2 linked regions of the Nothobranchius furzeri genome follow. The protein of the gene in region 1 interacts with the protein of each later gene in a pairwise test. Links are inferred from orthologs where the notes say so. Each region holds a gene or a part of one and is shown in the gene's direction. Other genes may lie near its edges.

The links. The genes of interacting proteins can lie anywhere in the genome.
Region 2: the proteins of nup58 (region 1) and mis18a interact in binary tests that used the Homo sapiens proteins (3 or more experiments, as listed by UniProt). The link is inferred for Nothobranchius furzeri from reciprocal best matches to the Homo sapiens genes NUP58 and MIS18A.

What each region holds. Positions count from the first base shown.
Region 1 is NC_091747.1:56,986,089-56,990,917, forward strand, and holds the start of nup58 (nucleoporin p58/p45), read left to right. Parts: upstream 1-1,851; 5' UTR 1,852-2,070; coding exon 2,071-2,150; intron 2,151-2,697; coding exon 2,698-2,867; intron 2,868-2,948; coding exon 2,949-2,981; intron 2,982-3,058; coding exon 3,059-3,328; intron 3,329-3,468; coding exon 3,469-3,628; intron 3,629-3,794; coding exon 3,795-3,860; intron 3,861-3,960; coding exon 3,961-4,135; intron 4,136-4,272; coding exon 4,273-4,352; intron 4,353-4,435; coding exon 4,436-4,554; intron 4,555-4,829. Other genes in the region: mtmr6 (myotubularin-related protein 6), read right to left, coding at 1,036-1,059. UniProt on the Homo sapiens protein: Component of the nuclear pore complex, a complex required for the trafficking across the nuclear membrane.
Region 2 is NC_091750.1:63,493,421-63,497,557, forward strand, and holds part of mis18a (protein Mis18-alpha), read left to right. Parts: intron 1-3,384; coding exon 3,385-3,487; intron 3,488-4,137. UniProt on the Homo sapiens protein: Required for recruitment of CENPA to centromeres and normal chromosome segregation during mitosis.

The sequences.
Region 1 (4,829 bases):
CAATTAGACCTCTTGCGGCGTGTGTGTGTGTGTGTGTGTGTGTGTGTGTAGGTAGGTAGGACTGGGGTAGTAAAAAAAAGTGTGTCTTACAATATTGTTTTTTCTAGAGGATTGCTTTACACTGCTCATCAATAAAAATACTTATAAAAGTGCTGTTGCTGTGGCTCAAACACCTTAAAGTATTTAGCACAATGGGGGCACACCCTGTCTGCAGGTGTCACACCCTGACCATCCCAGCAGCAGTTATTGTCAAATATTCGTGTCCCAATTTTAACCAAAAGGAATAAAACACAGAGTATGCATCAGGTTGCTTGGCATGGTGAAACATGTTACAAGACCCACACCTTTTTGGACACACAGAAGAAATTATTCACCAGTGTTTGACTGGAAAATGCAAAAATTCATCTAAACCTCAAACTGAAAAGTCATTTTGGATCTTTGGATGCTTATCTTATTATTTAATGTATGATCAAAACCTCATAAACCGTCACAAATCCTGTGTTTTCAGTTGGGTAGGTCTGTCATAGTCAAACCTGTGCTGCAGCACCTACATAACTTAACCTTTTTATGGGTTTTTATGAACTTAAAAGTCACGTATTTCCCATAAAAGTTCATCTGATACTTGAAATGTTAAAATAAATAAGCAGATGATCCTATTTTTGATCTGAGGAGTATTTTCATAGTGCAGATCACCCTGATTTTACCATCTCTGTTAAATAGGCCTATCATGTGTTACTATAACTCCAGATGCAGCCGAGTTTTCTATTAATCACTAAAATGCTTAAACTAGTTCAATAACTGGGTGTGAAAGTTGTAGGGTTATTGAGTGAAAGCCGTGCTGTCTGTTGAGCGAGGGGAAAAAACTAGCAAACAGATGCTCGTCACGTCTGATTCTAGCGACACCTGCTAGCCAACACATCTGGCTAACATTACATAGCAACACTGAATCACAGAAAACATACCAAAAAGACAAGGCCCAATAAGCTTATTCATCCCATCCATTTGCAAAAATTAGCAAAAAAAAATGTTAGCTACCTTCGGCGTTCGGATGTGTTCCATTTCTCCGAATCGAGACCTGTCAGCGACGCAAAGGGCTCACACGACGCGCTAAGATGACAAGTGTATCATTGATTTAAAAATGGTTAAGACTGCAGAGGTGTCGCCTTGACTTTTCGCTGTTATACGTTATGAGTTTATTGTCAATTATTTCACTCTTTTGTTAGCGTGAAGTTAATTACTATCACGGCAACGCTGCACGTGAAGTGTTTTCAAAATAAAGCGCATTTTGTGTTTAAAACACCAGGGCTTCGGTTAAACCCATGGTTAAAACCGCCTTTCGTGACATATAGTTTTTTTTAGTAAATATACACAATCGACATCAATATTATGATATACACACATATGTTGAGTTGATTAAACTTTTAACTGGCACTGTGTTGTGACGTGCTGAGATTTCACACCTAAATTACCACACGGAATGACAATAAATGATGTGATTCTATTTTCTAATTAAAATTTTTTTAAATGATCGAATTCGAATCTTGAAATGTTGTTTAAAATACGCCCTTTAAAGTCACGTAATTTTAAGTAAATTTTGTTTAAGCAAGGGGTTTTATTTTGAAAGCACATCCGGATTTAGTTTGTACTTTATGAACGACTTTTTAGTCCAAATTAGAAGTGTGCGCATGCGTTAACGTCACAGGAGCTGTGTAAAATCTGGGAAATGTAGTTTAGATAAATTATTACCCAAGATGCACTAGCACAAAAATACCAGGCGGGTAATAGGAAAAGAAGAGCCATGCGAAAAGTAGTTTTGAGAATTTTTTTTAACATACCAGGCTTATTTAATAGATTGTAAATCGCCACAAGGCTGCAGTGTGATCTCACTTATTGGGAATATAAAACATTTTTGATCAGTTATGTTTTAAACAAATGCTAGAGCGCGGATCTTGGCCCTCACGCGGCCATGAAAAGCTAACTGACGTGATGGTGTGCTAAGCTTGCAAATGAATTTCATTAGTATTTGAAGTTCAAATTGTTTGGTAGTGCTTGTGTAGCTGTTAGGAGAAAATGTCTGGCTTTAACTTTGGATCGGGAACGCTTGGAGCTACCAACACGGGTGGAGGATTTTCATTTGGAGCCGTTACCAGGTATTTTTAGTTAGCCGTTCTGGCTAAAGTTAGCATAGCATAACTTTAATCGTGTGCCATTTTTTACAATCCTTGTTTTTCAACATAGCTCACAGAGGTGGTTGCTTGTAATGTTTAAATGCACTGCCTTTTAGGGGTTTGTTCCTTCACGCAAACGTTACACTGCATTATTTAATAACATAATTGGGTTATTGAAATGTTAAACTAATTCCAGTATCCCCACATTGCTTCCACTGTCTTAATAAAGAACGCGTTTCAATAAGTTTGTGATTCGCACGTGAAACACTTATTGTTACTTAAGAATCATAAAGTTTAATTTCAATAAAACCTCCGGTTTAATACGTTTTTGGGTGATGTGCTGGAATGTCAGGATATCTACTTTTTCCATTTTGCCCAGGTTGCTTACAGCAGTTTGGCATTATTTGTTTGTGTAAACACATTTATGAAGTACTGTGGTTTAACGTAATTCAAATGGACGGATTATACATTTTTTAAGTGCAGCTTTGTTATTGAAAAAGTGTGAAATGATCATCCTTTCTGTCTTAAGTGCCCCTGCAGCCAATACGAGCGGCTTTTCCTTTGGGACTGTTCTGGGAACAGCAGCTGCAGCCCCTGCTCCAACCACTGCCACCTCCACCACTGCTTCTCTCGGACTGGGAGGCAGCATCTTTGGCCAGAAACCTGCTGGAGGATTCTCTTTCAATACGCCAGCTTCAAGTAATGATGCATTAACACATTTGTTTAAAGCTTAAGTCGTTCTGTGTGTCTTAACTTTTCTGTTGGGATCTTATCTTACAGGTGCTTCTGCGCCCACCACAGGCCTCGCAATAGGTATGCTAGCTTTCAGAGTGTGTTTTGGAGTAAGTGGGAAAGTTTCTACGTTTAATTTCACACACACTTTCTTTCAGGCATTCCAGCTACAACAGCTGCTACCACTGGCTTTAGTTTAGCCTTCAACAAGCCCACTGCCTCAGCGACACCCTTTTCCCTCACCACCAGCACCAGTTCCTCGACAGTGGGAGCAGGTTTATCATTTGGCTCCGTCCTGACATCCACAGCACCACAGCAGCCCTCAGCCACTGGCTTCAGCCTTGGTCTCGGTGGCATCACAACCGCCTCAGCAGCCTCAACAGTGCCATCACTGGGCACTGGACTTTTCTCCAGCACTGGAGCCTCAGGTTAAAATGAAAATAAGTTAACTTACACTGTCACGGTGCAGCACGTGTACAATCTATATATAACAATCAATTTAGCAAATCCAAAATCTCTGAAAGATCCGAAGATTTGTTCAAACCTCTTTTTCTACTTTGTGTTTCAGGGCTGGGCCAGACTACTCTTGGAGGAGGAGCCTTGGGTTCTTTGCTGGCCACCTCCACAGCAGTACCAGCTGCTCCTTCTCCAAGCATTGGCCTGGGTGGGGTTGACTTCAGCACCCTCTCCGAGAACAAGAGCGATGCATTATCTGGAACCAATGCTCAGTATGTGGCTTTATTCGTGAGGCCTTTGAAATAGTAAAACTAACGTTTGAATTCTAAAAATGTCCAAGACAACGTTGGTTTCCTGTCTTGTGGTCATTTACCTCATCAGTAATGATCTGTCTCCTGTATGATGGCGTGAAGAAACGTGTCTCATTCTCCTCCTCAGGGACAGCAAAGCTCTAAAAGATGAGAATCTGCCCACATGTATTTGTCAAGATGTAGACAATTTTCAGTAAGTATTACATTTTGTTACTGCACTGTGTACATGCTGAGTTTTTCTTTTTATCACCTGAAAGAGAGTTCCTTTCTGCATCTTTCTCCCTTATTTGCAGAAAATTTGTAAAAGAGCAAAAGCAGGTTCAGGAAGACATCAGTAGGATGTCCTCAAAGTCCATTTCTAAGGTTCAGGATGACATCAAAAGCCTCAAACAGCTGCTTTCTGTCTGTGCCAGCGGACTGCAGCGCCAGGCTCTGGCTATAGACAAACTCAAGTTGGAGACAGCTCAGGTATCAAACATAAAATAACTCAAATGACACATTCTCTCAAATGTTCCAATTTCGAAAGGTTGCAGCTCTTCCTTGTACCTTTTATACATAAATTACTCTTCCGACAAAACTTAACGTTCTTCAAATTCTTTTATAAGGAGCTGAAAAATGCAGACATAGCTCTGCGCACCCAGAAGACACCTCCTGGCCTTCAGCATGAAAACACTGCTCCGTCAGAGTAAGTCATCGAGCAGCAGCGTCGAGGCAAATCAAATGCAAATATCAGTGACCTACAATCGGCTGTTGTGATCTTGTGTTTAGTTATTTCCGTGGCTTGGTTGACCAGTTTGAGGTGCAGCTGCAGCAGTACCGGCAGCAGATAGAAGAGCTGGAGAATCACCTGACCACGCAGAGCAGCGGCACACACATCACCCCTCAGGGTAATGAGATGTGGAGATAACACTGATTATTTAATGGAAACGTAAAAGCTAGTGTATCAAACGCTACCCTTTAAATTCATCCTGGAATATAGTTTTTCAAACATAACAGAGGTTTGGTTTTAATTTTAACAAGTTCCACTACATTATTCATTGTTAGGTGGATGAAAACAACTCGGTAACGACACACAATTTACGGCAGACCCCGTAACGTGTTTCTGTTTAACTAGAAGGCTAATTCAGAGCTAACATGTCGTCTCAGGAGAGCTCTAATCTTT
Region 2 (4,137 bases), on another chromosome or scaffold:
CTCCTCTCTTCCTGGTCAGCTAATGGGGCTCCTAAGCAACAAAAAAAAGAAGTATGGATGAACAGGGCTATAAAAGCTATTTTCTGGTCCGTCTTGCCTTACACCTATATATGTTGTAATTGAATTGAAATGATAAATGCGATTGTCTGTTGCGTAATTTGAGATTTATTTGCTTCCTAATTAAATGACTACAAAACAGACGTTGCATATATGATGTCACAGCAGAATCCCTTCTCACGTCTTTGGGATGTTCTTGCTGTGTCTGGTTTCTAACTGCATTTTTGGTTCTTTTTAAAACACAGAAAAGTCCGCAAACGAAACTGTCAGCAAGGTAAAAACAAACAAAAAAAAACTTTTCTGTGTTTTAAAAAGAACCAAAAATGCTGTTAGAATCTCTCTTCCCCTAGCATAACCGCTACTTACCGCATGACCAGATTCAGAGTGGTTTTCTCCACCTTCTTTCATCCTGACTGAAGAATGCGAAGCTCGCTAAACTCAAACATTTTCATCTCCTTGTCTGGTCTGATGACCTACATTTGGTGAGACGAGCAGTTGGAGTCCACTACACGTCCTAAAGTAACTTTTGCCCGCCTGTCAAAAAAAGAAAGAGCTTTCTTGGCATCTAAACATGTTTTTAAAATTCAGACACCGTATGTGAAATAAGGTTGGGCAATGGGACGAATGAATCGACCGTCTGCGACGGGCTGAGCCGTTACGGTTGTTTTTTTTTTACAGGAAGCGATGTGTTTATTTATTTGTTTGTTTGTTATTGACAAATATTTTACACGTTACGCACAGAGAACATCGCAGAGGTAACAATCAAGAAAAGATCTCCATCAGCGCATCTGATCCCTTCCCCATCTGGCTGCTGACAGTGCACGCACAAGCGGCTCGCTGAGGAGGGGTTTGGAGAGCGTCTGAGTCTGGAAGACTTCTGGTTATTCCATTTGGAGAAACGTTTCCTGATTTAAAACTTTGGCTGAAGTAGCGCTCGTCGTGTTATTCAGCACTTGCTTTGAGTGCGTCAGCAGAGCACGGATCCATCCAGAACATTATTTAAACAGCCACGAGTCTGTCTGAGGCAAACGTCTAGAAGCTCATAACCTCCTCAGCAAACTCCATAGAGACATTTGATGACACACAAGCTGCAGGTGACCAGTTCAGGTTCACGCGGCGCAGGAGGAACGTGCGTTCAAGCCGCTGCAGTAGCTCAGGTGGTAGAGCGGGTTGCCTCATGATCGGAGGGTCATGGGCTCGATTCCAGCTCCTGCCAGGGGTATCCTGCTGCTGTGTCCTTGGGCAAGACACTTCACCCAACTTGCCTGTGTTAGTGGTGGTCAGAGGGGCCGACGGCGCCAAATGGCAGCCTCGCCTCTGTCAGACCTCCCCAGGGCGGCTGTGGCTACAAGTAGCTTACCATCACTAGCAGTGTGTGAATGTGAGAGTGTCTTTGGGTGTCTTGAAAAGCGCTATATAAGTTCAATGCATTATTATTATTATTATTAAATGTTCCTAATTTAAGTGAAATTGTTTAATTGCATTGTTCATGCTGCAGGGGCATTCTGACCAGCTTGGTTGGACTAAATATTAATTAAAATGAATGGAAATTTAAAGAATGATTATTCATCATTTAAAAATGAAAGTGACAAGGATAAATGGATCATGTGACCTCTGGCAGCGAGCAAACGCTGCCTCCCCAGAGTGCGTCCAAACGCAGCAGCGAGTCATCCCATCCCCTACTTATAAAAGAAATAACCCCAGAAGTTTTTGTTCAGAAAGAAACATTTTGCTTCAGTAAAAACCACAACAGTGGGCACCACAGGGAAACGAAGGCGAGGCTTCTTTTTAACATTTTAGTCATGTTTAATACGAGCCGTTTATACGTCACTCTACCAAACTACAAATACAAAATTAAATAAGAATTTCTCTTCCTGCAAACACACGTTTGTGTAAAAGAATCAATGTTTTGGGCTTCTTCTGCGTTCGCAAATTAGTTCGTGCGTCACGACGTCACATGCGCGAATAAATCTTCCATCGTCTTTTTTTTTTGGACTGACGATTGGCGGTGGGAAAAATTATACAAATCGCCCAACCCTAATGCGAAATTAATGGTACGTTTCTAACGGATATCAGAAACTAACTTTCACAGGTCCACTGACTGCTATTCATATTTTGGCAGTTTGGGACCCGTGGACTGGACATAGACGGGCGTACCTACTGTCCAAGTTATTTTTTGTTGTCACACAGGACCACTCATGTTACGCTGTGGGGACTCCATGAAGGTGGCACACTCACTCTAGCAGGATGCGCTAACGTCACAAGCAAACCCCCGAAAAGCATACGTCACTAAAAGCCGACATCTAACCAAACAACAATTCTGAAAAGAGAAAAAAGCGCCACCATTAACACGTCTTTTATTAGACTCCAAACTCTAAAAAGGAGTTGTCCACATGTTCCTGCGTGTAGCTTCTCCTGTTGCTAGTGTTGCTAATTCTACTCTTGCATTGTACTCTCGTCGCTAGTTGCTCGTGTCGGTTCCTGAGTGTTTTTTCATCGGTCGATTGCAGGCGGGAGTCAGGATTTCACGCAATGCTTGAAGACCGACTTTTGTTCTGAGGTTGCCCAATAAGCTGTCGCTGAGCCGGTGTTCTGTCCAATCACCGGACATTGTTAGATTGACACATGAGTGTTACAGCTTATGCCTGTCTGATAGCACGCGTACGCTGTCAGATCATCGTTCACTTTTTAAGCTGTATGATGGGCCAGTCAGAACATCATACACTTAAACAACTGTGTATGGCACCCTGACTCGTCAACTGAAGACTTTGTAAAGCTTTATTTTCTCAAAATTTTATAGAATTAGAAGGTGGTAAAATAAATAAATAAATAGTGATACACATTCATCAGTTCATCTATGTGGATGGTAAAACATTATGAACACAATCAACAAACGATTTCCTTGTACTTAGCCGTCTGTATGCTGAACTGGTGGCTCCTCAGAATGTGGCGGAGGTTTAAATGAATGCGCGCATAAACTGCATGCATGCTCCTCTGACATGTATGCTGCTCTGACGGAACACCTGTCACACTGGACGGCCACAGACTTGCAAATCACCTTCAAGTTCACCGTTATTTGTCACGAGTCTGTGCACGGTAACAGGTCTGTCTAGGACGGCTAAAAGCACAGTGTGGTCTGGAGGTTAGGCTTCCTTTAAACCAGCAGTGGTTCATCACATCCAGATGCTTCAGATGCATAAAATAAGAACAAACTTTAAACAACACAAACAAAAACTAAATGAAACAGAAAGTAAACGAAGAGAAAATGAATAAACTACACATTACGAGCCTACTAGGAGCTGTAACTGTTCTGTGTCTCTTTTCCAGCTATGTGCTTGGTTCTGCAAGCCAGATGTTGGCAGCAGAGGGCGCCAAAGAGCAGCCAGTCACTCTGGAGTACAGGGGCGTTGTTGAACAGCAGCTGACAGAGGTAAATTACTGCCGCTACTTTCCTTTGTCTCTCAGGTGGTCTTGCCAGGAGGTAAAACGCCAAGTAAAATGAGCAGATTGTCTCTAATTTAAGGCTTTTGTTGACATTATCTTAATCTTTAGTTTAAATCTTGAACAATTATTCTTATTAAAATGTTTGTTTCTGTGTGAACATTAAAATGCCTACAGCAAGCCAGAGCTCTGTCTTGTAAGCTAATCCATTTTCGGCAGGCGTAACGGTCCTGAGTTGTGTTGTGTTGATCTCCGAGCTTTCTGAATGCACAGGTTGTACCAGAGTAAGGATGACATCAGCGTGGTTCTGGTAAACCCATCCTTCTGTAGTGGGCAGACACTTTTATCAGACATTACCTCATCGGTCCAGCCATGTCATCTCAGTCTGACCATTTCACATTTTTAAGTAATTTTATATATATATATATATATATATAAACAAAACAAAAAAATACATCTATACTTACTGACATCCAACATCTTCTTTTTAGTTGTTTCTAATTTTAGCTTCAAAATGAGGCTTTGATTTAGTTTCGTCTGACCTGTGTTTTCCTCAATCCCAACTTCACAGTCATTTAACAGAGGAGCTTAATTACTCTTTGTTTAGGAAATTTCTCTAAACAAACAGGCTGCGAGCTG